6 linked regions of the Coturnix japonica genome follow. The protein of the gene in region 4 interacts with the protein of the main gene of each other region in a pairwise test. Links are inferred from orthologs where the notes say so. Each region holds a gene or a part of one and is shown on either strand. Other genes may lie near its edges. The genes, in order: IGF1R, GAB2, RPIA, PTPN11, TRIM32 and TLK1.

Region 1 (4,524 bases), on a different chromosome or scaffold from region 4:
ATGGCCTACATGTTGAAGTTCATACGTGTATTAGCAAGCACACTGATTTTTTAAATAGACAGGTCTTATTTGTAATTATTTTCCAATAGAGGCAACAGGCAGGATGTAGAGCATGAAACAATTATCCTAACGTGTATGCTTCAACAAGCCAATCTTTTCAACATCTTGACAAGAATTAGGCTAGACAAGGGATCTAATTCAGATGTGGAAAACGGAATTGGTACCACAAGACAGGGCCTATTCCAGGCATCACACTGGGCTATTTGCAGTAACTAACTCATAAAAAAAAGGTGGTGCAGATCACAGGGCAGCGTGTTTTGTTCTTAGAGCTTAAGGACAAGGGCAAGAAAGGCTAATTGCCTGCTGCTTCTGACATGATGCCTTTTTGCTCAAGATGATTTTGAGTGAAGAAATAATAATAAAACAAGTCATGACTCACCTCTGTGTCTGGCCTCAATGATCTCAGATAACTTTTGAGGTCCCCACGTGTCATCAGCTCCATGATAACTAGGGTAGGCTGGCCCTGAGAAACAACACCTAGCAGGCGAACCTGGAAGAGGAAAAACAAACGCTCAGCTACAGATCCCACTAACTGAACTGCAGTAAGCATTTATTCATGTGATACATAGCCCCAGACACCCATGAAACAGTAGGAAATGTCTGGAAGCAGACTTGCTTTCTCTCTGACTCCTGCTGAACAGCAGTATTCTAATGCTTATGAGTTGAAGCTAAAACCCAAGCACCCCTTCAGCCAGTGAGGACATGCCCCGAACACCCTCCTGCTGTTAAAGCACCACGGCCTTATCAGTCCATCTCGTTACAGGTTCAAGACTTACCACATGGTGACAATTGAACTCCTTCATCACAGAGGCCTCGTTTAAGAACTCTATTCTCTCACGCATGCTTGCAGACTCATTGACCGTTTTGATGGCCACCCGGGTCTCCGGCTCATCCTTCACCACTCCCTTGGCTATTCCCTCATACACCATCCCAAAGGAGCCTTGCCCAAGCTCCCGGCACATCGTGATCTTCTCGCGGGGCACCTCCCATTCATCTGGAACGTACACTAAGCAGAGAGAGAACATGCCATCACATTCTGTTTTCCTAACTACTGGGATTGCTTTATGATATCAACTGTCTGAACAACTTTACTGTAAGCAAAGCTGGACATCATTTTACGACCCTGAATCATGCATGTAAAAATGATACTTAGCACACAAATACATCTTAAAAGGAACCTTAAAAGAATGCAAAGGGACTGGCAGAATGGGATAAAAAATAAGAAACCTACTGCTCACAACCAGGGTAATTCAGGAAACCCACCCAAGTTAATCTCAGCTGAATAAACTACAGGAAAAACTTCAGAAACTCCCCGCTTTCAATAGGCAGACAACATTCACATACAACTGCCTATTAATTAACTATGGGTGTGCAGATACAATGAAGAGAAAGAGGTTTTACCACATCCCTTTGTCAGTGTTTCATACCTTCCCAAACCAGACACAAACAGAGCACACAGAACTGAGAGCACAGAGGCTCAGCCCACACTTACCGTCCGAAGCACTGAAGTACTCAGGGTTCACAGACGCATACAGCACTCCGTTGCCCAGTCTGTCACTGTTCCTGTTGAAATACATTATTTTTTTTTCTTTTTTAATCTTTGAGCTCAAGTAATTGCAGACTGCCTATTCTACAGCTTTTCCACTGTTTGCTCAATCACGAAGTATTTACTGTAGGTGGAGAGCTTTTCAGAGAAAGAAGACAAATCACGTTCTTATTCTACTTCACATAATCAGTGGGAAAACAGCTCAGAACATTTTTCCCAAGAAACCTGCAGTCTTCTCTGCTGCTGATGTGGTACAGAGAAGTGTAAACACACGGTACTTTCAGCTGCTAGGCAAACTTCCTTTAAGAAAGGCAGCTGTGCACTGATACACCCAGGAGACGTATGGCTTTAACATCACCTGCTTTTTACTGTGAGGCAGAAGTGAGCTAGCAAAGAACAAGGTGTTTTTTTTCATTCGGGTTTCTGTTCCACTACTTTATAAATTGCTTCTATTATTTTACTTTCCTGGTGTGATTTTCAGAATAAGACGTTTATTGAGAGTTGTAGGAGTTCTTGCAGGGGGCAAAGCTGTACAAATAAAATTAATAATCAGACCTCAGAAAACCAAAGAAAACATTTTTGTGTGCTAGAACAACAGCTTAAAGAAGGATGGGGTATCAGTTGCTCCACTCTGAAAAGGACATGGGAAGGCCAGCAGGTACCTCACTTCACTAGAGGCAAAGCCGTTTCTGTAGTGCTTGGGAACTGGGATGACAGCGTGCACACAAAGGGATGAGAGCTGGGACACTCAATGGGCATAATTTAAAAGTATGTGTAACAAAAGCCTGCATGCTTAAAAAGTTGCAAGACTGAACATTTGCACTGACTTCTGCTAAGTTCTCATTATGTATTTCAATTACATTAAAAAAAAATCCCTAGTTATTAAAGTACAATACTAAGGAAATCAAATCAATTGAGTGTTCTGTCCAGCATATAAATATTTGTATGTGTATGGAAGGAACTGAAAAATAAAACAACTTCAGAATCTGCAAGAAACCAAATTAATCTCATGTGAGTGAAGTTTACAGAGCAACCTGCATTTCAAAGCACCTGATTATAAAGGTTCAGCATCTGCCATCACTGTCCCAGTTCCTGACAACCCTTCTTCTGCCCTTTCAAACACGATCCTGTAATAAAAAGCCCCTTTGAATCCCAAGCAGCAGGCAGATAATGGCTGGTAACTCTACACCACCTCCTTCTACACACCAACAAGGCAGAATCCACTTTAGCTTCTCAAGTACTCTGAAAGCTATTTCACTTCTTATTTTCTAACTTGCTCCACAGACACAGATTTGAAAATAAGCATTCCCTTCCTACAGTTTGGCTTTAACCACAAGTGTAACTCACCTCTTCTTGTTAAAGACATACAGCATTATCAGCAAACCCCCAATGATGAGCAGGAAAGCAATGGGGAGCACAATTATCAAATGGAGGAAGTTGTCATAGTTTGCTGCTGCAACCAACAAGAAAACAATTGTATTAAGGTTTCTATAAAATCTCCATTAACAAAGAAACATTCAAAACCCACTCAGTATATTTCCATACATGGGAGAAATCAAAGTACTCATTTTCTTGTCTGATGTGGAAAAATGTACTCAGAAACACGCCCTGACTGCAGATGAGTGGAATAAGAGAACAGAGAGTGAAAAGCCTCAGCTTTGTACAGAACAGCGTCTGTCAGGAGTTTGGTTTCACATGTTATGCTTGAAGACTTACATTCCTTAGTGAACAATACTGAGCTGTTCACTTGTATATCAACCTTTATTTTCCACCACCTTTTGTTCACCTTGCCATTGCTCGTACTTCAGAAGATATTCACGTTGGTTCATCAGATTCCGACAATTAGAAAAACAAGAATGAATAAAAGATGGAGGCTGACTTTCTGTGGACACAGCTGATTTTCAGCTAAACACAGATGTTCCCGAGATGGTCTCTGTGTACCCTGTACAGAGCTATTCCAAAACCTGAATCGCTGCCATTCTCAGGGGCAGTATCCCTCTTTCATCAGTCTTTATCACAACATTCCTAACATCAATTCTAAAGTACAAAAAATCATACTGAGTTAAATAAAATCTGCCAGGCCATATTCTTAGCAAATCACTGGTTCTTACATCACTTTGTAACTCAAAGTAGGTGATTATCACAGGTTCTGCACCATTCAGCTCCAGTATTTAACTCCTAACATTACACTGGGCTATAAGGTGGACATCAAAGGGAGTGGCAGCAGTGTGCATCAACAGGCAGGAGTATTCACAGTAATGTAAACCTTAGGACTATTCAAAAAGGCAAGTCCCCAGTTTGACACAGCCAAGCAATACTGGTCTTACATTTGGGTTGTACATAGAAAGAGACTGGCTCAGTCCAAGATCCATTTCCAGCCAATGATGTGGCCTGAACTCTAGCAGAATAATTTCCAGGGTTCAGATGAGTCAGCTTCGCCCCTCCAAGCTTCTTGTATTCCTGTCTTGAAACACATTCTCGTTTCTCCTGGAAGAAAAAAGCAATTTGCAGTTCATGTTAAGATCTTCATACTCTTGGCTCTTTAGAAGAGGATATGGCTGCAACATAAGCTGATCTGTATAACTAAATACCCCATCTGATTAGTTTTAATTCAAACAGCTGAAAGAGATGTGGAATCCAAACCCTGACAAAATAAGACAAAGGAATGAGACACTGCTTGCTGCTGAGTGTTTAAAATCACCATCTCCATCACTGGGCTGTAGCAGCACTCAGAAAGAAGAAACTAAAAAAAAAGATTCCATTTTGTGTCTCAGTTGGGACCAAGTTGAACACTGTTCAATTATTAAAGACTTGGTAAGCTACAGATCTCTGAAAGAAAGCAGCTACCATAAACACCATACTCCTAAGAATACAGAAAACAGGTCTATTCTAAAGATCACATTTTCGGTGAAAGTCAC
Region 2 (4,524 bases), on a different chromosome or scaffold from region 4:
GTATCTGCCAAGTCTTCCTCTGCAATTAAGTTCCTTTTGTCTTAAAAGAAAATGATAATAAAGAACCCTTCCCCTCCACACAGACAGCAGTTTTAGAGAAATCCAGTCCAAATGGAGCTGGAAGTCTGGTAGGGCCCCAAGCTGGGAGAACCCCTGGGACATTTGCCTGTTAGGTGTCTGCCCTGCCGCTATTGCTTGGTGCTCTTGGTGGCTTCTGAGGACTGCCGCACATCAGTCCACTCCTGCATGGTGCTCTGCAGCGCCTGTGTCTTCTCCTTGTCCACTTGCACATAGTCAACCTTCTCATCTGAGGCAGCTGATGAGGTGGAGGGCTGTGGGGAGGAGAAAGACAGCCACCAGCTGGTTATCCATCAGCAGCCATCGACTCCCATCCTCCCTTACAGTTCATCACCCTCCCTCTGACCTCCTGAACGGTATCGGGTGAAAGATTTTGGTCTCTTCTGCAGCTTTCTTGCATGAGACCACAGTGTGATGGGAGGGTTAAACCAGCACCCAGGTCTCTGCCTTCTCACCAGCTCTGGAGCACGAGTCGCATCTTGCTCATTTTCTTGTAAGATCTCAAGAATTCTTACAGACACACGGAAAAATCTTATCATTGCTTTTAATCAGAAGTTTATCAAATCCCCAGTACCTTTCTGTGTGGCCCTGGTGAGCTTGGCTGGAAGTCCAGGGCAAGATAATCCACACTACCCGAACTCTTTTTAGGCGCTGGGCTGTTGGTGCCACTAGGAACAGGAGAAGCAGAAATGGGGTTTTGCTAATGCAGGGAAGAGACAGGAGAGATAACGAGCATTAAAATGGGAAGAAATAGTGAATCCTCAGTGAACACAGTGCCGGGATCTCTGCTCAACACAACTGTGCTATGCAGTGCACCCATCTCCTCAGCCCCCTCAGTTACGCAGCCTTAAAAATATGCTTCAAGTCAGCAGCTTTGCTAAGAGAGACAAAGCCCCTCCCTGTAAGCAGTGCCACTCCCTGCTGTGCTCTGATAGCCCCTGCCCTCCGCACAAACATTATGTCAGTGGGGGAAAAAAGCCCTGAAAAAAAAAAAAAAAAAGAACTTAATTAGGAAAATACGCCCTGGATGTTTTTATTCCCTCTTAATTCCTTGTGAAATAAGTAATGTGTGTTCAAGCTCTCATATGGAGTTAAAACCCCAGTAGGATGTATTATACCAGGAACAAAAGCCACTGTTTTGTGCATGTGGGGATTACACAATGATGCACACGACATCCATCATGACGCTATTGGAATCATTGTGGTGCTTCCATGTCATGAGCCAGGAATGCGTCTGCAGCACTGGGGAACGTACACGTCCTACCAGGACCATGTATCCTACCAGGGGGCCCTTACCATCGCCACGTAGTTCTCTTCACTGTCTCCTGAGTCAGTGCTGGTGATGCTCTGGGAGGAGACAGGTCGACAGTATTGCAAAGAGCCGGCGTTGAAGGTGTGGCTGAAAGGACAAGGTTCAAGATGTTAATGATGGCTGTGGGTACATGGCTGGGGAGAGATGGAAGAGAGCTGCACCTGATCTCTTCCAGTGCTCATGGTGGGTGATGGAGAAGAGCTGATGGTATTGGGAGTCTTCCAATCTGTCCATCCCATGGGTTAACTAAACAGTGGGTTTCATCTTATTGTTTTTTCCCTTCCTAGTACTTTTAAAATAACACCTTGCTTACTGTACCACAGAATTATAGAATCACAGTATCGTTTGAGTTGGAAAGGAACATTAAAGGCCATCTGGTCCAACTCCCCTGTAACAAACAGGGACAACTACAGCTCCATCAGATGCTCAAATCCCATCCAGCCTGACCTTGGATGTCTCCAAGGATGGGGCATCCAGTACGTCTCTGAGCATATCCATAACTCTGAATCAGCTGCATAAATCAGGATCCATAAACTCTTTCATCTCACAGGAAGCATTTCATTGGGGAGGATGCAGAGACAGCCTCCATGGAGGTCCCCAGCAGGCTTCTCATCTCCAGGCCCTTTTCAGCTCCAGGCTTTGGAACCATACAGGGCCCTATCTGAATTTTCTGATTGAAAAAAATCTGCAAGGCGTCGCCTTGTTTTCAATTGGCCAGATCCAATTATGGAGAATAACATAATGCAATCAGCATCTGGCATTGAAGCCTGTGTCTTAAAGAGCTATTTGTTTCTTTGCTGTAAAGGCAGGTTCATGTGATTAACTGTTAAGGGAAAAATCCATTAGCTTCCACGGGGTCAGGCATCATGTCAGTCAAAGTCTGTGTGCTGTTTCCTGGTGCAGTGATTTCAGCACACAGCGCTCATGCCCTGCAGTCAGTCTCCACACAATCCAATTTATTACAAGAGTCATAACAGCCAAACCTGGCTTCTTCCTTTCATTGGACAAGATCAGACTGCGAATTAGCAGCAGAACTGGAGCTGCATGAATCCTGTTATTTTTGGCTGGCAGACTTTGCTATGAAGTGCTTTGGTTTCATTTTGCAGACTTCCTCCAGGCTAGGCTTTGCTTTCAAGGCAATCAAAACACAACTGAGTCAAACCCTGTGCGTCTCACCCTGCATTTTTAGACTAAAGCAGCACTTCTGGGGATGAGCTGGATATGAAATTGGTACTATGCCCTGACTGCAGTTGAGCTGGGGGTCACTCAGCCACACCACAAGTCATGAAGGACTCCAGGTCTTGTATCAGAGCCACAGCTCTGTGGCAATGTCAGATCCCCAAATAGGAAATGCTTCCAAGGGATCTTAATTAACTGCTCAGCCACATACTGGGCTTTCATGTGAAATCCTAATCTAAACCCATTTATCTTCCAGTCACTGGCTGTGATGTGGGGGATGTGGCTCTGGCTCTCCCAGCACTTGGACAGAGCTCACAAGGAATCCAAGAGAGATGGTCCTCTTCTTCAATATCATCTGACCCAGATCCAAAGTTTGGCCATGATGTGACCAAAGAAATTCCTCAGCCCCAAAACAGCTGGTGTGGCAGGAGATATTAGGAAATAATTACTCAATACATTCCCAATTCTAATCCTCTTCCCAGATAGCTCCAACTGATCCCTGATGGATGAAGATGTTGTGCAAAGTGGACTTTCAGCTCAGTACAGCTGCTTGTATATTTTCAATCTGTGACCCAGTTCTGCAGCTACTGTTTCTAAAATCTACAAAGGAAAAATCAAGATGGAAGAGATCACCCATCTTTTGGGGAAATTTGAGTATGCATCATACCCAACCATTACTCACCTTGGTCTGGACCAGGATTTTGTCACTGGAGATTTGAAGGGAAGCTCATCGATGACAGTGTTGTTCCTCAGGTCCAGCGGTGATGGCTTTGCTGGGATAAAAGTGTTTATTCAGATCATAACCAACATGAGAGGGGATAGTCTCCTAAATTTAACTTGTTGCTTCCCATTTTGCACATTAGCCCTCCTTGCTGATGATAAATCAAAGATCTCTTCTGTCATTTATGCTGAGACAGGGAGAAAAGGTCAGTTTCTCCCTCTGACTCACAGCCCAGAGCTGGATGGATGGCTCCAATAAGGGAGTCCTGATGCCTCAGCAGAGCTAGAAAACACCAGCACTGATCAACTTCTGGCTAGAGCACTTGCTCAGATTGATTCAAAAAGGAAATCTACAGAGTAACCTGAAAGCTTTTCTCATCATGGGTAGTTTATTATGTGGAAGAGAAGAATTCTCTGCTGCAAACCCAGCCCTCATCTAGTGTGCTGATTAAGTTAGGTGCTGACATCCTAATGGTGGGAGCCCTCCTGAGCTGTGACCAAAATTCCCTGAATTGGTTGAGCAGGAGTCAAGGTGGTGATATGGGTGTAAGAAAAACCCTGAGGGAAAAGCTGCTGGGAACCAGTCAGTAGGAAACAGCAGGAGAAATCCGAGTGATCTGAATACAGTCATCGAACCATGAAGGTTAGAAAAGACCTCTAAGATTGTCTAGTCCAACTGTCTGCCTACCACCAATATTGCTCACTAGCCATGTCCCTAAATGACACATCTAAATGGTCTTGTACACCTCCAGGGACGGTAACTGTACCACCACCCAAAGGTTTTGGGATGGAATGCAGAAAGAGCTGCCAGCAAAAGGGTTGTGCTTGACATGTACATCTCCCTTAAAGGCCAGGAATGGTGCAAGATGGGTATTTTGAGCTTCATTGCACCATAGTCCTCTTGAAAGAGGAATGGAATGGGGAAGGGGGAGATCTGAGGGTCTGACTGTGCTGCTGGTAGCAACCAAGACCTCACTCAGGACTCTGTTGAGCATGCACAAAAAGACAGATGTAGCCAGAAGGGTTCTGGGAAAGCTTTGCCCACAAACACCCATTCTTACCTTTCCGATCGGGTTTGAGGTTGCGGTTGACTGGTGGGGGCTGGATCTCACTCAGCCGCCTGTGGCACTGGGCCATGGCCCCTCCTTTATGCATGGGGAGAGTGGCCGAGGACAATCCCACCAGGTCAAAGTGATGTGGCCCAGGGCTCATGGGGATGTAGAGACTCTGGGCGT
Region 3 (5,152 bases), on a different chromosome or scaffold from region 4:
GCTGCCCAGGGCCGCATCCAACCTGGCCTTGAACACCTGCAGGGATGGACGGGGCATCCACAGGCTTTTTGGGCAACCTGTTCCAGTGCCTTGAACTGGTGAGAAGGGGATCTGCACAAAAATCTGCACAAAACCTCCAGAACCAGTTCAGACATAAATCTTTCTCCAGCACTGCAGATGTTTTAATTCTAACCCTGTAGTACACTGAAATGCACAGGTAGCCCACAGCCTGAGACCTGCTCGAAGATCCCCCAGCAGAGAAAGCTGTCACAGAAGTACTGGGCTGTGCCACAAGCATCTTAAGCACCCGGAGAAGCTGAAGAATTAGACCTGCTGCGTTCAGGCTTAGATTTAACGAGCCCCTGCTAAGCACAGAGCTGAATGAGATCATATTTGGTCCGAGGCCAGAAAGAAATAGTGCTGTAATGGTTTCATTGGCTTTTTGAGAAGGGGCTGTCTGACTTCAGAGAGTCAACAGCAACACTCCTCCTGCTAATCTCATTTTCAGAAGCGTGCTGTGTGAGAAGAAGCTTCCTCACAAAGTTTTGCTTGATTGCTCTCTGTTTATGTAGGATTGCATTAGGAGCCCAACACTATCAGAAAACAGCCCGTGGCAATCCAGACGGAGTCGTGATTTTGTGAACAGCTTCAGCAGCATCAGATTTGCAAGAAGAGAAACTTCAGCACTTCCAGCAAGTTGTTGGTTGGATGGTAGCCAGGTTGGTCAGTACGAAGAGCTTCCGAATTAACAGGATGGATGGGCAGGAAAGGCAAAATGTAAAGAAAGGCAAAAAATGGCTTACACACGCAGGTTTCAGACATGCAGATTTAAGACAGGTGCATAACAAGTGCTGCAACTGACAAGTGATGGTTAAGAGAATCTGGTTAATTTAAAGTAACGTAGTGTATTTACCTTAAGGAAAAAGAAATCAAATGCAAAAGGGTCTGGATGAAGCGCCCACATGAAGGGAAAATGCAGACAGAACCTTTTAATGGAGCCAGAGCACAAGTTACTCTCAGCAAGTATTTTGTGTCGTTCCCAAAACAGTTACCTTAAGAATGAAATTACCACCACACCTGTTGTAACAGCTCTTTATTTCAATGTCTATAACACAAAAAGAGGGCTTGCATTTTGACACTGGAATCATGCAAAGCACCTATACACAGAGAACGGTATACTGAACGAGTGTCTATCTCCTGCTACATATGGTCAATTTAGGCAGGAAGACTCGGTTTTCCTTTGCATTCCACTCTATCCTTCTACTAATCAACCAGCTGTGAGAGGTGACAATTAACCTTCATTGCAAACCAAACAATTTGTCACTGAACACTGCCCTAAAATGCTCAGATGTGCTTCTTGTAAACTTCATCAAGTGCCCAGTTCTGCTCTCATTATACAAGGATGAAATCCTGAACATCTCCAGCTACTGGAACAGACTTTAATCAGAGGTACAGTGCAGTTGTAGGACAGAATTTGGCTCAAAAGATGAACATCTCTTCCACAGAGGCCCCCAGAAGGCCCCTGTTCACGTCCCAGACACAGGGATGCAGAAAGCACAATGTCCCTAGGCTCAGAGATTTGTCATGTGCACTGAGGATTAACTAGACGTCCCGAACTATTAAAAAACAGTGGTATAGAAAAATAAAAGGCATAAAATACTGAACCAAAAAGGTTCCAAATAAGGCATCGGTAGGTCCCAACTGGATGCGTGCTCCCATTATGCACATCATCATCCTCCCAGCCAGGTCGGCTAAGGATGATTTATTAGGATCATAGTATCAATCATGGAGCACTACGAGTGACCAGGAGGGTTCAAGTTCAGTTCAAAAAAAAAAAAAAAAAAGGAAAAATGAAACAAAACGAACAAAAAGAACCAATAAAAGAATCCAAAAAAGTATTCTTTTATTTATTTTTTTGGTCAACATTCCTTAGAAAATAAAATAAAAACATTAAAGCAATTCATTTTTAACTGATTCGTTAAAAAAAGGACAACATTCTTGTAAAGTAAAAATATATCTCTATATATCTGGAAATAGAACTTTTTTTTTTGCTGTTTTGTTTTGTTTTTTTTTAAAAAAAAGACATTCGGTATCATATCAGCGGGTTCTGATCAACTCCCCACCCACCTGCTGTGATAACCGCTGCTCATTAAGGCATAACGTCAGGTTGGCACCGTTACGACAGCTGAATCAAACTGGCTGAAGGCAAAGCAGAGCAGGCAGAACTGCCACCATCAGCGAGGCTGCTTCTCCCGCACACTGACCGAGCCGTCCTCCATGCCAAAATACACCACCTCCGCCATGTCGATGAACAGCCCCGTCTCCACCACACCTGGGAACAAGAGTTCATGAGCCAATTAGCCAGTTAAGCCATCCAGAGGGACCTGGAGAGGCTGGAGAAGTGGGCCCGTGTAAACCTAATGAGGTTCAATACGGCCAATACTGCAACCATGAAGGCTAAGAGCTTCGAAACCAAGCAGATGGAAGACATGAGCCAGACACATGGGTTTGTATGAAACCTCCAGGGCTGCAGAAAAGCCCATGAGAAGTTAATCACATTAAGAGGAGTTAAAGGCAAGATGGATTTGAAGCCAGAGACCAAAGAAGAGGGAGAAAAAAAAAGAAGAGCATCAAAGTTTTGCTCATGCAGTTGGTCTTTCCTTACACAGAGGAAAAAAACAGCCTGGGGATGTCATTACCTCTATTTTGAGGCACATGAAATCCTCATACAACTCTAATGCTGGCAGTTCACAGTGATGCACAGCTCTGCAGCCCTCAGTCCTTTCAGGTGGCTGCTTGCTGACACACATGGCACTCAGCTTGCCAAGGCCCTCAGGGGCAGAGGCCACCAACACTCAGAGCCAGCACCAAGTCTGCTGGGCAAGCCCTCATTTCACCAACAACTCCTGCTGCAATCCAGGAACTGTATGTAAGCACTCATATTGGTTGCTTGCACAGCCAAGCTCCAAATCCAATCCCTACCAGATGAACACACTCCAAAAAGGCTGAAAAAAATAGTGTGCAAAGTGCACAGAGTCCTCCTACCACCAGTATATCCAGGCTTTAACAATCCTGCTCTTCCACTTCTGGGTAGGGAAGATGCTCTTTTCCCCTTAGCTGGCTCTTTTCTGAGCTCATGGTTAAACTATGGTATTCTGAAACCATCTCCAACCTGTCTATTTCCCTTTCATCCCTCTTGGCTGAGGGATGCAAGGAGCCCATGAAAAAGACACTGTGTTTTGTTTCTGCAGAACCAGCCGCTGTTTCTCTTGTGCATAGAAAGAACTCTAATAAAGCACATATTTGTATTGCCATGGACTACAGCTGCATTAGGGTACAGAGAAGTGCACCAAGGACAGCCCAGACTAGCAGCACCCACCAGTCTATTTATATCAGACACTGGTTTGTTTAGATCAGCTCTTGCCAAAGATCTTAACCTGCCATCTACTGTCAGCTGTGAGCAAGTGCCAGGTAATTATTCAGACTGCAAAGACATCAGGACAAGCCAAGGGAGAGGAAGCACACCAGCAGTTTGCTCCTAGATCCAGGGAAAAGGAAATGGGTGTGTTTTCAGCAAATCAGCCTTCTAATAAGCACTGAGGGAAGCAAAGCTAACAAACAGAAGCAGCTTGAAGTAACCAGGGACACTTCACTTCACCGAAACCTGTGGCGTCTGCCTAATGTATTCTAATCATGGTGCTACTTCGTGCAGGCACGGAAGTTTGTGCTACAGGATCCCAACCTGTTCCTATGTGCTCTGGTAAGACACAAAGAGCAGTGAAACCAATGGTAGCTCTGCTGTGCACAGACAGCTATCTGGAATTAACTCAAAATACATAAGATGCACTCAAAAGGTAACTGGATTCAAGAGTAGACTTTCACCAAAATATCCAGCCAAGATATCTTGATGGGGCTGAGCAAGCTTTTGTATGTTGCTTTTGTATGTTGCTTTGATGAAGTGTCATCACCCTTGGGCAGACCTTAACGATCCAGAAACAGCTCTGGTCTGGATAGCAGGTCTCATGCTTCTAGCCAAGCTCCCAGGGTCAGGGATTTGTAGTACAGACCAAGTCTTAGCCAGTTTTTGGCTTTTAACATCACAGACATTACCTGGTATCATTTTTATGGCAGTGTTCACTTCGCTCCACTCGTGAACCTTGTCAAACTTCCAGTCCAGGATGAAGTTCCCATTGTCTGTCACCACCGGGCCCTGGGAAGCAAATCTATATGTCAGCACCACAAGCTCCTGTTGTACCAAGCACAGCCTTACAACGGGAGCCATCCCTGCTGCAACAGTGTAGGGAAGGTCATTGTTTGAGTAAATAAGGGCACAGTCCACTTCCCCATACAAACATTAACCCTGTAAGTCAAACCACTGCCCAAGGCAGCTGCGCCTTCCTCGTTCTTCTGCCTAGAGTTCACAGATAATCACAGAAAAGCTGGAAAAAAATGATATGATTTCATCACTGGGATAGAGGATCCTTTTCACAAGAGCAGAGCTAGAGGAATGTATTCAACAGACAACTATATGCAACTGAAGCCAAAACAAGACTCTTGCACCCCTGTAATAAGGGTGGGCTGCTACTGCATGCCATAGGGAGGTTTTGGAGCTGAAGGACTGACGGCCTTTGGTGTCTCAGATGTACCCAGCACCCTCTCAAGCCCCAAAGTTTTGTCCTTTCAACAAGAATGAGACAGCTCAGGCTGAGAATAAGGCATTTCAGCAACCCTGAGCAGGGGTTGTAACCCACACATGGCAGGAAAGACCAGGGATAAGACCACTGAATGAGACAGAATCCTCCAAGGACACATCTCATGCTGGAGCATTGGGATCTACATTTCCCAAGCAAGGCTGGTCTTGAGTTCATGGGAGACAACTGGCTTTCTCTTCTCAGGCTCCTATATATACCTCCTCAGCCTCTTGGGCCAGGGGATTAAACATATTAAAAGTGTTCAGCCTTCAGGTGTTAGCTCCAGCTGCAACTGGAAATAGTCCTCTCCTCCTTTACCATATGATATGCATTGGTCAGTCCACACTGTTCAAGCCAGGATAGGACAGTGGAGACAAAGCAGGTTCAGTTTTTAGTCCACTCTTGCTCTGTGTGGCATGCAGCAGATTGTTTGTGGCCAAGAAGAGACACAGAGCAGCCCT
Region 4 (4,524 bases):
ACACTCATAGGATGACAGGCAATATCCAACACAACATTTAAGTCTAGGAACTCCTGAGGCTCTCAGCACTGCAATGCAGAAGGGAATGCTAGCAGAGAATCCAGGGAATTTTTTCTCTGAATACAAAGAACTCATGTCTATGTGAATGGATGCAGCTATGTGTCCATACCCATTGCTTCAGCACAGCTGTAAGTGCTACATTATATCATATCTTTATTTTTTCCTCCAGGATGTTACTTCCTATACTCAAAGTGTTGCTTTTATCTGAAAAGTATTATTGTGCTTTATTCCTGCATCTGCCACCAGCCTTTAGGTTCAAGAATTCATGATGTAAAGCAATGCTCTATTGCAACTTCAAGAAACTTTTATTCTCACGCCTCTTGAGCTAGTAACACAGTAAAGGATGAAACAACTGATCACTGTAAGAGAAATGCACTGTTCCTCTCAATACCAAAGTATAATTCAAAACCACATTACAGCAATCAAGAAGTTACAGATCTACTTTATAAATGGTGGCAGCAGAAAGAGACTATATTCAAAAGCTGAGGATACAAGGCTTGTGCAATCACACACAGATGTGAGGAAGCTCTAAAGTGAAGTGAAACAAGCAAGCCAGAAAAAAAGTACACCTGAGGGATTTCATGTTCTTCTCTTTGAGTCTAATCAGCATCAAAGCACACAACAGGCATCCTGGGGAAAAGAATAAAGACTCCATCCTCTGTTGAACGGTGCATCTACATGATGCTGGCAAATATAAAACAAGTTCTGTCACACTCCAAAGAAGCCAGAAGCCACACGAGAGTGCCAAGACTGAGCTGGCACACCCTACCTCTAAAATAGGGCTTAAATCTCACAACTGGCACTGAACTAACAATGAACATACGGCTTTCCACATCTGCCTGATGATCTGCGTGAGTTTATCTCCTGAGCAACAAGGCAGCAGAAGATACTGAAATTCTGAAAAAGATAAGTCCCAGATGACCAGAAAAATAGAGAATGAAAGCAATAGTGGACAGAAAGTTAGTTCTTTATCACAAAACCATGCATCTTCTGTACAAGATGGTAGAATTAGATGGTACCTGAACAGAAAGAAGTGTGGAGGGGTGTCTTGCAACTGTCCTCACATCCCAAGCTTTTTCATCACATGCTTTACAATCCTTCAGATCAATATACTTCATTCCACATAACCTAACACTCAAATTTCATTGCCATATTGGCAGTCAAGTCTCCAAGTCACAAGCAGCAAATGAGCAACTCTGCTCCCTGCTCCAGTGATAACATATTCCTACATAATTTACACTTCAGATGAATATACCTGTTCCTCTTCAATCCTGCGCTGTAGCGTTTCAATGTAGTGCTGCACTGCCATGTAAATAAATCTGTACTGTGCTTCTGTTTGAACCATTCCTGACCGCTGTGATCTCACCATCTGAATGGTCTTGGGAACATCAATATCACAGTCCACACCTGTGAAGTAAAAATAACCATGAGGTTAGAAGCAAAGTAAACTTTGCTTTTGGAGAGATTGGTCTCCTCTATATACAATGAACAGACTGACAGCCACATACTCATGAAAGATTTAAACAAATAATTAAATACAAATATTAAGAAAAATAACACAGATTCCTGGCTAATCCTCAGCTGAAAGTTTTCATCATCCTGACCTAGAGCAGGATTTCAGCACTTTGATTCCAACTAAGAAGAATGACAGAGTCCCTTTTATGCTAAACAAGTACTCACTCTAAAACAATACTAGAATCCTCTGTCAACATTTCTATTGTTTCTACTGTAATGCTTCTGTGACCTATGTCAATGTCCCAGCAGAAAACAAAAGGCTGAGGACACCTACCTTTTTCTCTGATTATGTCAATAAGAATATCAATCACAATGAAAGTTCCTGTTCGTCCAATCCCAGCACTGTGGAAAAGAACAATGATAATTTTGCTGTGAGAAGGCACTAGAACACTAACCTAAGTTAAGAGTACAACACTAAGCAGCATTAGATTTCCAGTTTCCAGGTAAAGCCAAACCAAACTACACAGACAAAAGAAAACAGAGGCCTATATTTTCAGAGAGACAGAAGTAGGCAGAAGTCACAACAGCATTTTCTGTATCTTAGTGTTTATTAACAACCTTGGATCAGACAGAACTAAAAGATCAAATGTTTCCTTGCCTTATTGAAAACAAAAATTCAGACATTAAAAATGAGGAGTGATATCTTACAGGAGGTGGGATGGTAGACTAGTATTCCCATGATCCCAAGCAATACATCAATAGATGTAAAAAAAAGAAGCCAACAGACCTCCAGAGAAGCAGAAGCATTCTGCATCACTGTACCTGCAGTGGACCACAACTGGTCCTGCATCAGAAATGCTTTCTTGCTTATGGTGCACCTCCTCGAGAAAGTCCAGTACACCACCAGGATCACTTGGGACTCCATGATCAGGCCAAGTTCTGAAATGATATTGCCAGACTGTTCTCTCTGTGTTCCCCTAGAAGGAAGACATCAACATGTGAAAAAAAATCCTTCTGATCAAAATTCAACTAAGAGCATTACTTCAGCAAAGTTGAGTCAGATCAGAAGGCAGTGTACCCAACCCTTCTACTCAATATCTGTGGCACTACAGCTCAGTTAAAGAAGGAAAGAGTTTTTCTTGGCCTGACAAGTCAATCACACTACCTGCTCCCACTGTTCCCTCTTTGTCTCATTTAGCGATTTCCAATATTTCTGTCTCACCTTTAGAAGGTAAGGAAAAGCTCTGTTTCTTAACAACAAAGTGCTGTTCCCACACAAATTCACTGCTTCCTTCCTCATTTTACATGTCTTCACTTAAGAGCTCTTTCTAGATTCTGGACTCCCATACAACAGTTCCTTCTAGTACAACCACCTCCACGAAAGGGCAGATAAATGCTTAGCTAGACTAAAGTATGATTACTTAAAAGCACTTTCATGCTTCTTTCCAGACTTCCTCAAAGCTCTGCAGTCATGCATCTTCTGCCAAAACAAAAAAGTGCTCAGGTATAAGAATCTTCAATTAGCCCAAGGACAAAGGGAAAGATGCATGGAGCTAAAGCTGGAACTTCAAAGAAAGAGTCAAGGCTCAATTTATTCATCTTTTAGTGCTTTTATTGATTCTGCAGAAAGAAGAATCTGCATTTTTTTTTACTTGCAACCTAGATTAAAAGGACAGAGCTACTAACATACTTACTTGCCCAACTTTAGAAAGCTTAAGTTCTCTTAGCGTGTAGTCATGTGCTGCGCTCTCCTTAACGTTCCTCACACGCATAACACCATACTCCTTTAAGGAATATTCATCAGGCCAGTACTTGACACACTTACTCTGCAAGATTCAAAGCAAACAAACAAGACTTTAAAGAGTAATCCACAAGAAGGCTGCTTTGTGAACCGCTGAGCACTTTCCTGAAGTTTTCATTTCTGAGAACATCTAAGACAACACCAGCACCAACTGGACAACATCAAATGACACATTAAAGTATGTGTGAAGGGAAAGTTTCTTTTCTATATCTCAAATAAGGAATTATTTCAGGAAAAGTGGTACATGCAATCTCTCCTTTCAGCAGCTTTCATGATTTTAGTACCAGTTTTGCCTCATAGTTGCAAAGCCCTGGGATTGAAATGCAGTTACCTATACCTCCACCCAACTATTTGTTTCAAAATACGAAGAATTTTCAGGGGAATGCTGCAGCTCCATATGCTGCTCTAAAATCAATACCTAACAGGCTGCAAAACAAACGCAAGTCAAAGATATAAATCATTTTTAACAGGAATGCAGCTTGGACATTCGCTTTTTCATTGCTTAGAATCAGGGAAAAAACGGGCTAACATAGCTCTAATTCAATCACCAAAGCAACACAGAACTGCTCCCTTTGACAGACGGCCTGATGCATCTGTAGGCTTCGACATTTAGAGCTTTCAGCATGCTGCTTCTCTCTCAAGGTTATCTTTGGCCAGGGATGTATTCTACACACTGAAGGGTGGCTTAACCTATTACTTCTTTAATTTGGTTCCTGCAACAACAGCTCCTGTTAGCCTCGTGAAGGCTAACACAAAATTAGATGAGAAATATAGTGGGGAAGACAGATGCAGCTTCCAGCAACAGCAAACAGACCAAGCACCAAATACCATAGAAAAATATTTCTTATTAACAGCACCTAGTGCAGATTTACAAGAATATATGGGAACAAGGGAAGCTTCTTCTGCCAATAAAAGATACAGCATAAGATGCTTTGCTGTTGTTACTTTTGCCATTCTTTCCCTATCGCTGATTAAGTAACCAGACATAAAAGCATTGTACACAGCCAGAGCACACAGCAAAAAAAAAAAAAAAAAAAAGTATTCAACTTTTATGAACAGGGAATTTATCCCTTTTCAAATAGGCAGAATATTTGACTGCAGCACCCAGCTTTCCAGTGTCTCATTCCCTGAGTATTCTCACAATGCAATGATTCACATTCAGTAGCTAGAATTTAATCAGACAACCCTTACAAAAGGGAGGTCTTGTG
Region 5 (5,211 bases), on a different chromosome or scaffold from region 4:
GCATCCTTGGTTTGACTGGGGAGGAATTTGGTGTGCAGCTGGCTTCTTGTTGCATCAAGTCAGGCTCTCTAAATGATGCCGATGAGGATGCTGCAGTTTCCATGAGTGATTCTTCCAAGTTAACAGTCCGGGGTTTCTTCACCACCTGCCCAATCTGCAGTGGTCCCACATGGCTCACTTTAAGGAGTTCAACCTCGTGAAGTATCAGCTCCCCTGGGAGACTGTTTGTCAGTTCTGGTTCTTCCTCATCTGCTGCCTCCTCCAAGAGAGCAATATCTCCTTGCTTTATTTTGGCAAGGAAATAATCACAGCGAGACAATATCTGCACTTCTGCTAAGTTCAGCAGATAAGCTTGTTCCTCCATTACCTGATTATTTACCTTCTCCACTTCAGACAAAGAGGTGGTGAAGAACTTGCGTGACCTGGCCAGTTCTTCCTGGATCTTGCGTTCTTCTTTGCTGTAATCTTGCAGAACTGCTCTGTATCTAGATTGCAGGTCACTCGAAACACCCTCCAGAGATGCTTTTCTTTTCTGCAAATCATCCATGAGCTCCCGAAGTCTGGCAAGCCTTGTCCCAAATTCCCTTCTACGCTCTTCAGCAGCCTCTTTGATAGCAATGACATTATGCCCTTGGGGCACGTGTGATGTCTCCTTGCACGGCTCACATAACACCAAGCCACAACTCTTGCAGAAGTGTCTTGGCAATCTTCTCCCACAGACTTTGCACATGAGGAGACCAACCACTTCCCCCAGCCCTGTGGTGTCTATGATCTTCAGTACAGTAAGATTGTCAGTCAGCTGAGCTAAGGTTTTGATCCGAGTGATTTTGCTGCAAAAAGGGCAGCGTATCCCATTAATGCTGGTTGCTAGGAGCTTCTCCAAGCACTGTTTGCAGATGGTGTGCCCGCAGTGTAAGAGCTTGGGTCTCAGGTGCTCCTCAGTAAAGGACTCCATGCAAATGGGGCACTCCAGGACCTCTCGGAGCGCATCCGAGTTGAGTTGAGGAGCAGAAGCCATGGCTTTCCACAGGCAGCTTTACCCAGTGCAGAATCTGGTACTCGCATGTATTCTAAGGTGCTCCAATTCTGTCCAGAAAGAAAAAAAAAAAGAAAATGTGATTTATGTCATCACCAGCAGTTACATATACATGCAGTTTATTTCTGATTTATCTCCCAGACCTGGAAAACAGAAACCCAGTTGGCTTTTCCACATGTGAGAAGGGTAGATTTATCATCGCTGATCTCAGAGTGGGCAAATCCTAAAACTAACCTGCAGCTTCTAGTGCAATGAATTATTCGCTTGCAAAATTTATAAGGAGAACTGAAAGAAGTGTAATGGCAGCAATAAGGAAGCCCAATATATATTGATGACTGAATCATCTCCTCATGGTGCCCATCTCCTGCTGCCAAGCCTGTGAGTTTACATAATTTACTCTGAAATCCAGAGAGATTAAACCAAGCGTTCAAATGTTGCGCATCAAAAGAGGAACCAGATGGTGCAACGCTTTAGGACATTAATATATCACCTCTGGAGACCTGCATTCAGATAAGACATCAGACATGAGCAAAATAAATGTTCATGGTTTAAAACTGCTTTTCTAGAAAGCCAAAATAAATTTTCAAGGTTTCATGTGTTTGCCAGGAGGTAATCCTAGAAGGAATGATTTGTCGGTTTCCACTCCTTCTGTGATTGACTGTTTATAGTGGAAACATGCGCCGATGTCTTTAAGCCAGTGTACTTCATTAACCTCTGCCATGCTGCATCATGCAAATAAATACAGCTTGATGCAGCAGCATTCTATCAAGTATTAGCAGAAACAGAGCTACCAGACAACTCCAAATGCTTGATAATACAGACTGCACGTGTTCTCTCTTAGGTCCTGAACTTAGCTTAATTGCATATAATTTCTCTGTATTCTATACTCTTGTAGCACTGACTTCATTCCTGTGTTTTGGTTCAGTTTTGTTGTACCGCCGTGGTTGCCATTCAACTTCAGCCCAGGTTTCTTCATCCTCACATCCCGCGCAGCGGGGAGCAGATCCCAGCAGCTCCCTCGCTAAAGCAGCCATCCATTCAAAAGGAACAGAACAGGGTTCACATCATTAAGTTATTATTCAGCGGACCGAGTTTCAATACCTCTGCTATCGCATTGCTTAGCCGTTAAAAAAGAAACGGGGAGAAAACATTTCTTCTAGGGGGAGAGGAGGAGAAGGAAGTGGTTGGTCTTTAAAATGAAGAGCCGGGCACAGAGGGATGCGAGCAGAAAGCTTTCTTCCCAATAATGGCTGCATGCACGCAGCACTTTGGCTTCCCTGCTGCGATCGCCTGCTTTGCCCTCAGGAGCATTTCAGACAGAAAGGTTCAGTGTATTTCAGTTCAGCGTTTGCTCGAGTGGAAGGAGACAGCTGGAACGGAGAGAGGTTCTTTATATTCATACATAGAGAGAGGGGGGGGAGGAATTAAAAGGAGATCTGTATTTATCGGCTGTGAGGTCTTTTTAGCCCCACGTTGCAGGGATGGGCAATGTGGGATCTCCAATGGTGGGGTCCCAGGCTGGGTGCTGACCCCAAAGTGGGGACACAGCTTTCCTTTCCCTTTCTCTTTCCCTTTCTTTCCCTTTCCCTTCCTTTCCTTTTCCTTTCCTTTTCTTTCTTTTCCTTTTCCTTTCCTTTCTTTTACTTTTCCTTTACTTTCCCTTTCCCTCCCTTTCCTTTCCTTTCCTTTCCTTTCCTTTCCTTTCCTTTCCTTTCCTTTCCTTTCCCTTTTTCCTTCCCTTCCCTTCCTTTCCCTTCCTTTCCCTTTCCCTTCCTTTTCCCTCTCCTCTCCTCTCCTCTCCTCTCCTGCTGAGCAGCACCTCAGCTCTGATGGATGGACAACAACGAGGTTTACAGATAAAAGCTGCGGTCAGAAGGCGTATTTCCATTTAGATGGGCTTCCCTTTGCTTTTAACTCAGGTTCGGTCTGAAGGTCGCTTTGTGTGATGCTCTTTTAATAGGCACAACCGCATGCAAGCGCTCATCTCTGCCATGCCGTTATCCCCGCAGCGCTCTCCCTCCCTCGGTTATACCCCACATCGGGCCGTTGTTCCCACACATAAAACAGTGAACCAGAGGCCGAACCGAGGCCTGGCCCTGCTCACGGCCCCGCAGCGCTTTGGGAGCGCCGCCTCCCTCCCGCTCCATCCCGGTCCCGCTGGGTCGGCCCCGTTGCTGTGTGTAACCGCCCGCCCACCCGCCCCGCCTGCAGGGGGCGCCACTCACGGCGGGGCCCCGGCTCCGCTCCTTCCCTTTACCTGCTCGCCGCTCCCCGGGCCGCGCAGCCGCTGCCCGTCATACCCAGCGCCGCCGATGACGTGGTGCTGCGCGGCGCACGGAGCGCTGGGAGGTGGAGTCCTGAAGGGCCGCCTGCGCACACACAGCGGGTTAATGGGGGGGAGGGGCCATAAAGGCCTGTAGGGCCACCATGAGGGGCTGCAGGATGCCATAAGGGCCTATAGGGCCACCATGAGGGGCTGCAGGATGCCATAAGGGCCTATAGGGCCACCATGAGGGGTTACAGGATGCCTTAAAGGCCTATAGGGTCATCATGATGGGCAACAGGATGCCTTAAAGGCCTATAGGGCCACCATGAGTGGTTACAGGATGCCTTAAAGGCCTATAGGGCCACCATGAGGGGCTGCAGGATGCCATAAAGGCCTATAGGGCCACCATGAGGGGCTACAGGATGCCATAAAGGCCTATAGGGCCACCATGAGGGGCTACAGGATGGCCCCCATTAAAGGCCTATAGGGCCACCAAATGATGGGCTACAGGATGCCATAAAGGTCCTGTAAGGGCCCACCATGAGGGGGCTACAGGATGCGCATAAGGGCTGCTATAGGGCCAACCATGGAGCGGTGCAGACTGCCATAAAGGCCTTATAGGGCCACGCATGAGGGGCACAGGATGCCATAAGGCCTATAGGACCACGGCATGGAGGGGCTAGCAGGATGCGCATAAGGGCCTATAGGGCCACCATGAGGGGCGGCTGCGGATGCATAAGGGCCTACTAGGCACCATGAGGGTCTACGAGGTAATGCCATATAAGTTCCTATATGGGCCACATGATGGGGGCTACAGGATGCCATACGACGGTCCTATAGGGCGCACCATGAGGGGCTACAGATGCCATACAGGGCCTATCAGGTGCCACCCATGAGGCGGCCTGCAGGATGCCATAAAGGTCTATGGGGAGCACCATAGGGGGCTCAGGATGCCATAAAGGCCTATAGTGGGGGGGGGGGGGGCCACCAGAGGGGTCTACAGGATGGCCATAAAGGCCTATAGGGCGCACCATAGAGGGGCTACAGGATGCCCATAAAAGGCCATAGGCGCCACCATGAGGGGCTACAGGATGCCATAAAGGCCTATAGGGCCACCATGATGGGCTACAGGATGCCATAAGGTCCTATAGGGCCACCATGAGGGGCTGCAGGATGCCATAAGTTCCTATCGGGCCACCATGAGGGGCTACAGGATGCCATAAGGTCCTATAGGGCCACCATGAGGGGCTACAGGACGCCATAAAGGCCTATAGGGCCACCGTGATGGGCTACAGGATGCCATAAGGTCCTATAGGGCCACCATGATGGGCTACAGGCTGCCATAAAGGCCTATAGGGCCACCGTGATGGGCTACAGGATGCCATAAGGTCCTATAGGGCCGCCATGAGGGGCTATGGGATGCCATAAAGGCCTATAGGGTCATCATGATGGGCTACAGGATGCCATAAAGGCCTATAGGGCCACCATGAGGGGCTGCACCCTGCTGTCATGTCATGTAACCCTTCCCAAACACAAGGAAGGGTAGAACCAGCTTGGATGCAGCTCCTGCCACCATCTCCTTGCTCTATAGGTTTTAACTTGCTCACAGCATGTGTGTGTGCTCAGATCCATCCCTCTATGCTGTTCATGCCTGGAAATAGAGGAGGGTGGTTCTATCACACAGGACTGATGAGCAAAGTCATTAATCATATAATCAGTCATTTTCCTCCTGCCTCTTCCCTCCTCCTCCCCATCCCTCTGACCTTTCTATCTGGCCTCTCTTCTCCCATCTGATGTGTTCTGCTGGCAGTAATTAGAGGTGGGATTTAGCAGCCAGACTATCTGATAGGAATGTCTGGGCTTGGTGGGAGCACAGGTGGAGAACTGCAGCATGGAGAAATTCCATCTG
Region 6 (3,991 bases), on a different chromosome or scaffold from region 4:
CTTGCAAGGTTCATTAAGAATTGATGAAGTTTAACTTCATTTCTTTTATCTACCTGCAACTAAATCAGCAGAAAAACATGGGAAATACAGCGAAGGATGATGTGATGAATCGAGTAAAATGTGCACAAAATACAGCCTAAGCAATGGATGTATGAATTACCTAGAAGTGATCAGCATCCCTTGACAAGTCGCAGTAATTCAGGCTTCTGGATTCAGTCTCAAGGGTACTTCTATCCCAAGCACAAATTGCTGAGCATCAGCCATCAGACACCAACTTGGACGTGCTGTGAACACAGAATGAATCCACATGGGGATACAAAACTTCTACTGACAGTACTGTAAGATGCTTACCTCCGGTACACAGGGTTGCACTTGTGTTAAGGTCTTGCAATTTTGATCCGAAAGATGAGACAGCGATACTTCATTTGCTTCTGTATGAAAATGCATTAAAAAGAAGCGTTTAGATTTCAGAAGTAAACATCTGCCATGGTGGAGTAACTGTCATGTAGTCAGCCACTTGTACTCCCAGATTCTAACAACAAGGAAAACAAGCCCTCTCGGAATCACTATAATGCCTAACCCCCCTTTTCTTTAGGTAGCTCTACAATTTTTGGTTACTTTAACAGTTCTCTAACATATTGCTAAGCTTCAAAGTACTAGAGGTTATCACAACACATTCTGGATACACAAAAACAGTTAACGCAGTCTTACCTCTTTTCCTTAGGCAAAACAGTCTGTAACTTCCAAGACACAGAATAGGATATAATGAAATCTAACGTGAGTATGCAGCCATGGCATAATCCTTGAACCACAGACCTTGGTTTCACACTGGCATATGGTGAAAAGGATGCAGTCCTAGAACTCTGGCATAACAGAAAGGCAGAACATATCAGAGTCTATTTTTATGTCTAACAAATTATAGAGAAACCTACTGAAATAACTGGAACTGTATCTGTGAGGCCTACTCATTGAAATAATGCATAGGTTATTTCACTGTGACAGATGCTTCAAATTTTATGGAAGTCTCCCCTTTCAGCCCTAACGTTGCTTGAATGTATTACTCTATTACTTCTGTTCGCCATCGAAATGAACTTGTTTTGATAGGTGAATGTAGCTCAGTGATAAGGAAAGCAGATTTGTCCTTTGTTAAAATGCAAAAACACACAATGAAAACCTTGAAATTTCAACTGTCATTGTTTATTACTGTTTTGGCTACATTCTCTACAATTTCAGCAGCATCTTAAAGAGACAGTTAATGTTTCTTTATATACAATGAAAACAAAATGGCTTGCAACATCAGAAACAAGAGCAACAGTTTAACTGTACAATACTAAATGAAAACCTGTGGTAAGAACAGCCTCCTTTTTCTCTGAAACATGGACAAAATTACAGATAGTATTCAGCATCCAGAATGGAACAGTAGAAAGAATAGTGAACTGGAGAGAGATACGCTGTTTTGAAAAATAAGTTTCTACCATACAAGGCAGTTAGAAAATGTTTCACATTTTAAAATACCTGTACAAGCCACAAGAAACATTTCCTTGTAGATAGGAACTTCCAGAAATAGAGAATAGCCATGAGAAACTTCTACATCTAGTACTGGTGCACTCTACAGGTTGAGAGTGCAATAAATTGACTTACGGAACTGTACTGTATATGGCCAACACAGCTCGGTTTACATGCCTTGATTGTTAATGAGTTTCCTACTCAGTCTCTCTATAACGTACAGTTTACTCGCACCTTAAGGAGGTCATCTGATTCTTTTGCTGAAGTAAAAGCAACATTGTTTAGCAGCAATTAAAAGCGCCTTGAGGGAGACTTTAAAGAAAAAGTACAATATCCAATTAGAAAAAGCCATACTTTAAACATTTGTACAGGAATAAGTTGCTGAAATTTAACTGAAAATGTGACATCTGTACAACAATTTACAATAGAGCTAGAAGGGAATTTATCATTATTCCTGCATAGAATATTATACATGACCTGTTTGCATTTGGTTTCACACTGTTGTTTGCTTTTATCAGAGGCCTGGAAATTTTCACAAGTTTCAATACCACAGCAAGTACAGTATATTTAGAAAATTAAGCTTATTTCAAAATTAGCAACCTATTTGAGAAATAAGTACCAGGAATTCCCTATCAACCTAAATTCTGTGAAAGAACTCCCCATGTTTGGAGGTATAAGCCTGAGTGCCAAATAAAATACTATAATTTCATCGAGGAATCTGATGTAGAACACAGCTTTGACTGTCTTGCACTTCTTACTTTGGTTTCAGAAGATCAATGTCTTGGAAACACGGCAGTTCATTTAGTTTATTAACCAGACACGGAATTTTTCTTGTTCTCAAATTTGCTTACTACCTTTCTTAAAAATTTTAAATAATGAAAAACTACCCTTCATGTTAGAACTTTCCAGTATCAACCAAATGTATTTTAAGTATTAAAAAGATTATTTACAATGTTCCCCAGAAAAAACTAAAAACCTTTTCTTCAGTCTTAAACACAGTATACCTGCTAGTGTGCAACAGGCAGTGTCATCCTTCAGCGTTTTAAGGTTGTTCTCTGAAGTGTATATTTATTCACAGTCCATGACCCATTCCAATCATACAAACAACACTATGTAGGAGGACTTCAGCCTGAAAACACAGTTATCAAACTCGTCCTGTGTAAAAACACCCAAATGTTCTCAAGCTCAAGTCTGCATCAGGAAACTACACAAATGTATCATGCCATTCCTCAGTTGGAGAAATTTCAGTATGAAATAATGCTTGAAGTAGGTGGTGTAGGGGATGCTGCTAGCCCAGTCATGTGTAAGTTTCCTGAAGAATTTGATCTCCTCATATGAGGAAGAAGGTAAGGATCGTTAGCCAGTTGATGGACATCAAATCTATCCTCTTTTCGGTATGCTAAACAGCGTCTGATAAAGGCCTAGAAGAGGAATGCAAAAAGTCACAATACCATTCAAAATAATTCCATCTGCTTACAAGCAAATAAGCATGTCCTCCCAAGATAAACCAGCTTCTAAACAGACTCTTGTTCTCATATAATTCCATTCAAAGACAGCCTAACATTCTACTACAGACTCCAATGGAAAAGAGTATGTTACAGTAGAAAAAAAAAAAATCAGCAAGCCTAATTGGCTTAGAGTAATCACACTTCAAACACATACTTCAGACGAAAAGATGTGTGAACTATATTTACAAGCAAAACATTAGCATTTCACAGAGGGAGAATTCTGCTTGTGTTATTCCTTAGCAGCATAGTAAAAGCTAAAAGCAAATGTCAGAGGACTCAGGAAGTAGAGAGGAACTACAAGGAGCTTCTAAAACCATCCAGCAGTGCACTACATGAAGAGCAGAAGATGCAGAGACAGTTGCCACTTCCAACACGCACTAACCAACACATCATTTAAGAAATCACCACCTAGCTTGAACTTCTCTCTCAGAAAGGAGAGAATTACAACTGACTTAAAATATCTTAAAAAACAGGGGAAAAATCTCTATTTATCTCCAGGGCAGCTTTTGAGACACTGTATTGTCCTTCATCAAGGTCTACATGATATCTGTCAATTATTGCATGATGTGTATTTCTGTTGAGTCTCATGTCTAATATATACAGAACACTCAGTCCCCTGGGAACTTGGGCTTCAACATTTAATGATAGAAAATCCTTATTACTGCTACAGAACTCATTAGCACATCATTACTTAATCCAGAACTTAAAAGAATTACCTATCTTTTCTTGATAAATCTCTTCAATTGTTTGTCCTTTGCTCAAATTAAAAACGTGAGATTAGAGGAAAATTTAATCTGTGATGTAAGTCCTAAAGATTCCTGCTAAAATTTCCTTCTAGCGTATACATATCCAGCAGGAACTAGTCTCAAAATAAAAGCACGCACATCTTAACATAAATTCACACATTCTTGGACATCTGGGGATTTAATTGAATTATTCATAATGAATCCCTAAGAAATGAGCTGCTAAGCGTAGTT

The links.
Region 1: the proteins of PTPN11 (region 4) and IGF1R interact in binary tests that used the Homo sapiens proteins (3 or more experiments, as listed by UniProt). The link is inferred for Coturnix japonica from reciprocal best matches to the Homo sapiens genes PTPN11 and IGF1R.
Region 2: the proteins of PTPN11 (region 4) and GAB2 interact in binary tests that used the Homo sapiens proteins (3 or more experiments, as listed by UniProt). The link is inferred for Coturnix japonica from reciprocal best matches to the Homo sapiens genes PTPN11 and GAB2.
Region 3: the proteins of PTPN11 (region 4) and RPIA interact in binary tests that used the Homo sapiens proteins (3 or more experiments, as listed by UniProt). The two-hybrid records come from large-scale screens. The link is inferred for Coturnix japonica from reciprocal best matches to the Homo sapiens genes PTPN11 and RPIA.
Region 5: the proteins of PTPN11 (region 4) and TRIM32 interact in binary tests that used the Homo sapiens proteins (3 or more experiments, as listed by UniProt). The link is inferred for Coturnix japonica from reciprocal best matches to the Homo sapiens genes PTPN11 and TRIM32.
Region 6: the proteins of PTPN11 (region 4) and TLK1 interact in binary tests that used the Homo sapiens proteins (3 or more experiments, as listed by UniProt). The link is inferred for Coturnix japonica from reciprocal best matches to the Homo sapiens genes PTPN11 and TLK1.

Annotation. Positions count from the first base shown.
Region 1 is NC_029525.1:15,115,200-15,119,723, forward strand, and holds part of IGF1R (insulin-like growth factor 1 receptor), read right to left. Parts: intron 4,094-4,524; coding exon 3,934-4,093; intron 3,060-3,933; coding exon of another isoform or gene 3,057-3,059; coding exon 2,954-3,056; intron 1,624-2,953; coding exon 1,553-1,623; intron 1,067-1,552; coding exon 837-1,066; intron 551-836; coding exon 440-550; intron 1-439. UniProt on the Homo sapiens protein: Receptor tyrosine kinase which mediates actions of insulin-like growth factor 1 (IGF1). Binds IGF1 with high affinity and IGF2 and insulin (INS) with a lower affinity. The activated IGF1R is involved in cell growth and survival control.
Region 2 is NC_029516.1:172,537,656-172,542,179, reverse strand, and holds part of GAB2 (GRB2-associated-binding protein 2), read right to left. Parts: coding exon 4,351-4,524; intron 3,343-4,350; coding exon 3,252-3,342; intron 1,478-3,251; coding exon 1,375-1,477; intron 1,059-1,374; coding exon of another isoform or gene 1,035-1,058; exon of another isoform or gene 785-1,034; intron 779-784; coding exon 653-778; intron 333-652; coding exon 189-332; 3' UTR 1-188. UniProt on the Homo sapiens protein: Adapter protein which acts downstream of several membrane receptors including cytokine, antigen, hormone, cell matrix and growth factor receptors to regulate multiple signaling pathways.
Region 3 is NC_029519.1:78,028,116-78,033,267, reverse strand, and holds the end of RPIA (ribose-5-phosphate isomerase), read right to left. Parts: intron 4,211-5,152; coding exon 4,111-4,210; intron 2,333-4,110; coding exon 2,235-2,332; 3' UTR 1,077-2,234; downstream 1-1,076. UniProt on the Homo sapiens protein: Catalyzes the reversible conversion of ribose-5-phosphate to ribulose 5-phosphate and participates in the first step of the non-oxidative branch of the pentose phosphate pathway.
Region 4 is NC_029530.1:5,554,196-5,558,719, reverse strand, and holds part of PTPN11 (tyrosine-protein phosphatase non-receptor type 11), read right to left. Parts: intron 3,342-4,524; coding exon 3,210-3,341; intron 2,493-3,209; coding exon 2,338-2,492; intron 1,918-2,337; coding exon 1,850-1,917; intron 1,468-1,849; coding exon 1,316-1,467; intron 1-1,315. UniProt on the Homo sapiens protein: Acts downstream of various receptor and cytoplasmic protein tyrosine kinases to participate in the signal transduction from the cell surface to the nucleus. Positively regulates MAPK signal transduction pathway. Dephosphorylates GAB1, ARHGAP35 and EGFR.
Region 5 is NC_029532.1:2,233,926-2,239,136, reverse strand, and holds the start of TRIM32 (E3 ubiquitin-protein ligase TRIM32), read right to left. Parts: upstream 3,394-5,211; 5' UTR 3,294-3,393; intron 2,058-3,293; exon of another isoform or gene 1,939-2,057; intron 1,087-1,938; 5' UTR 1,019-1,086; coding exon 1-1,018. UniProt on the Homo sapiens protein: E3 ubiquitin ligase that plays a role in various biological processes including neural stem cell differentiation, innate immunity, inflammatory resonse and autophagy.
Region 6 is NC_029522.1:16,222,545-16,226,535, reverse strand, and holds the end of TLK1 (serine/threonine-protein kinase tousled-like 1), read right to left. Parts: intron 2,928-3,991; coding exon 2,751-2,927; 3' UTR 1,176-2,750; downstream 1-1,175. UniProt on the Homo sapiens protein: Rapidly and transiently inhibited by phosphorylation following the generation of DNA double-stranded breaks during S-phase. This is cell cycle checkpoint and ATM-pathway dependent and appears to regulate processes involved in chromatin assembly.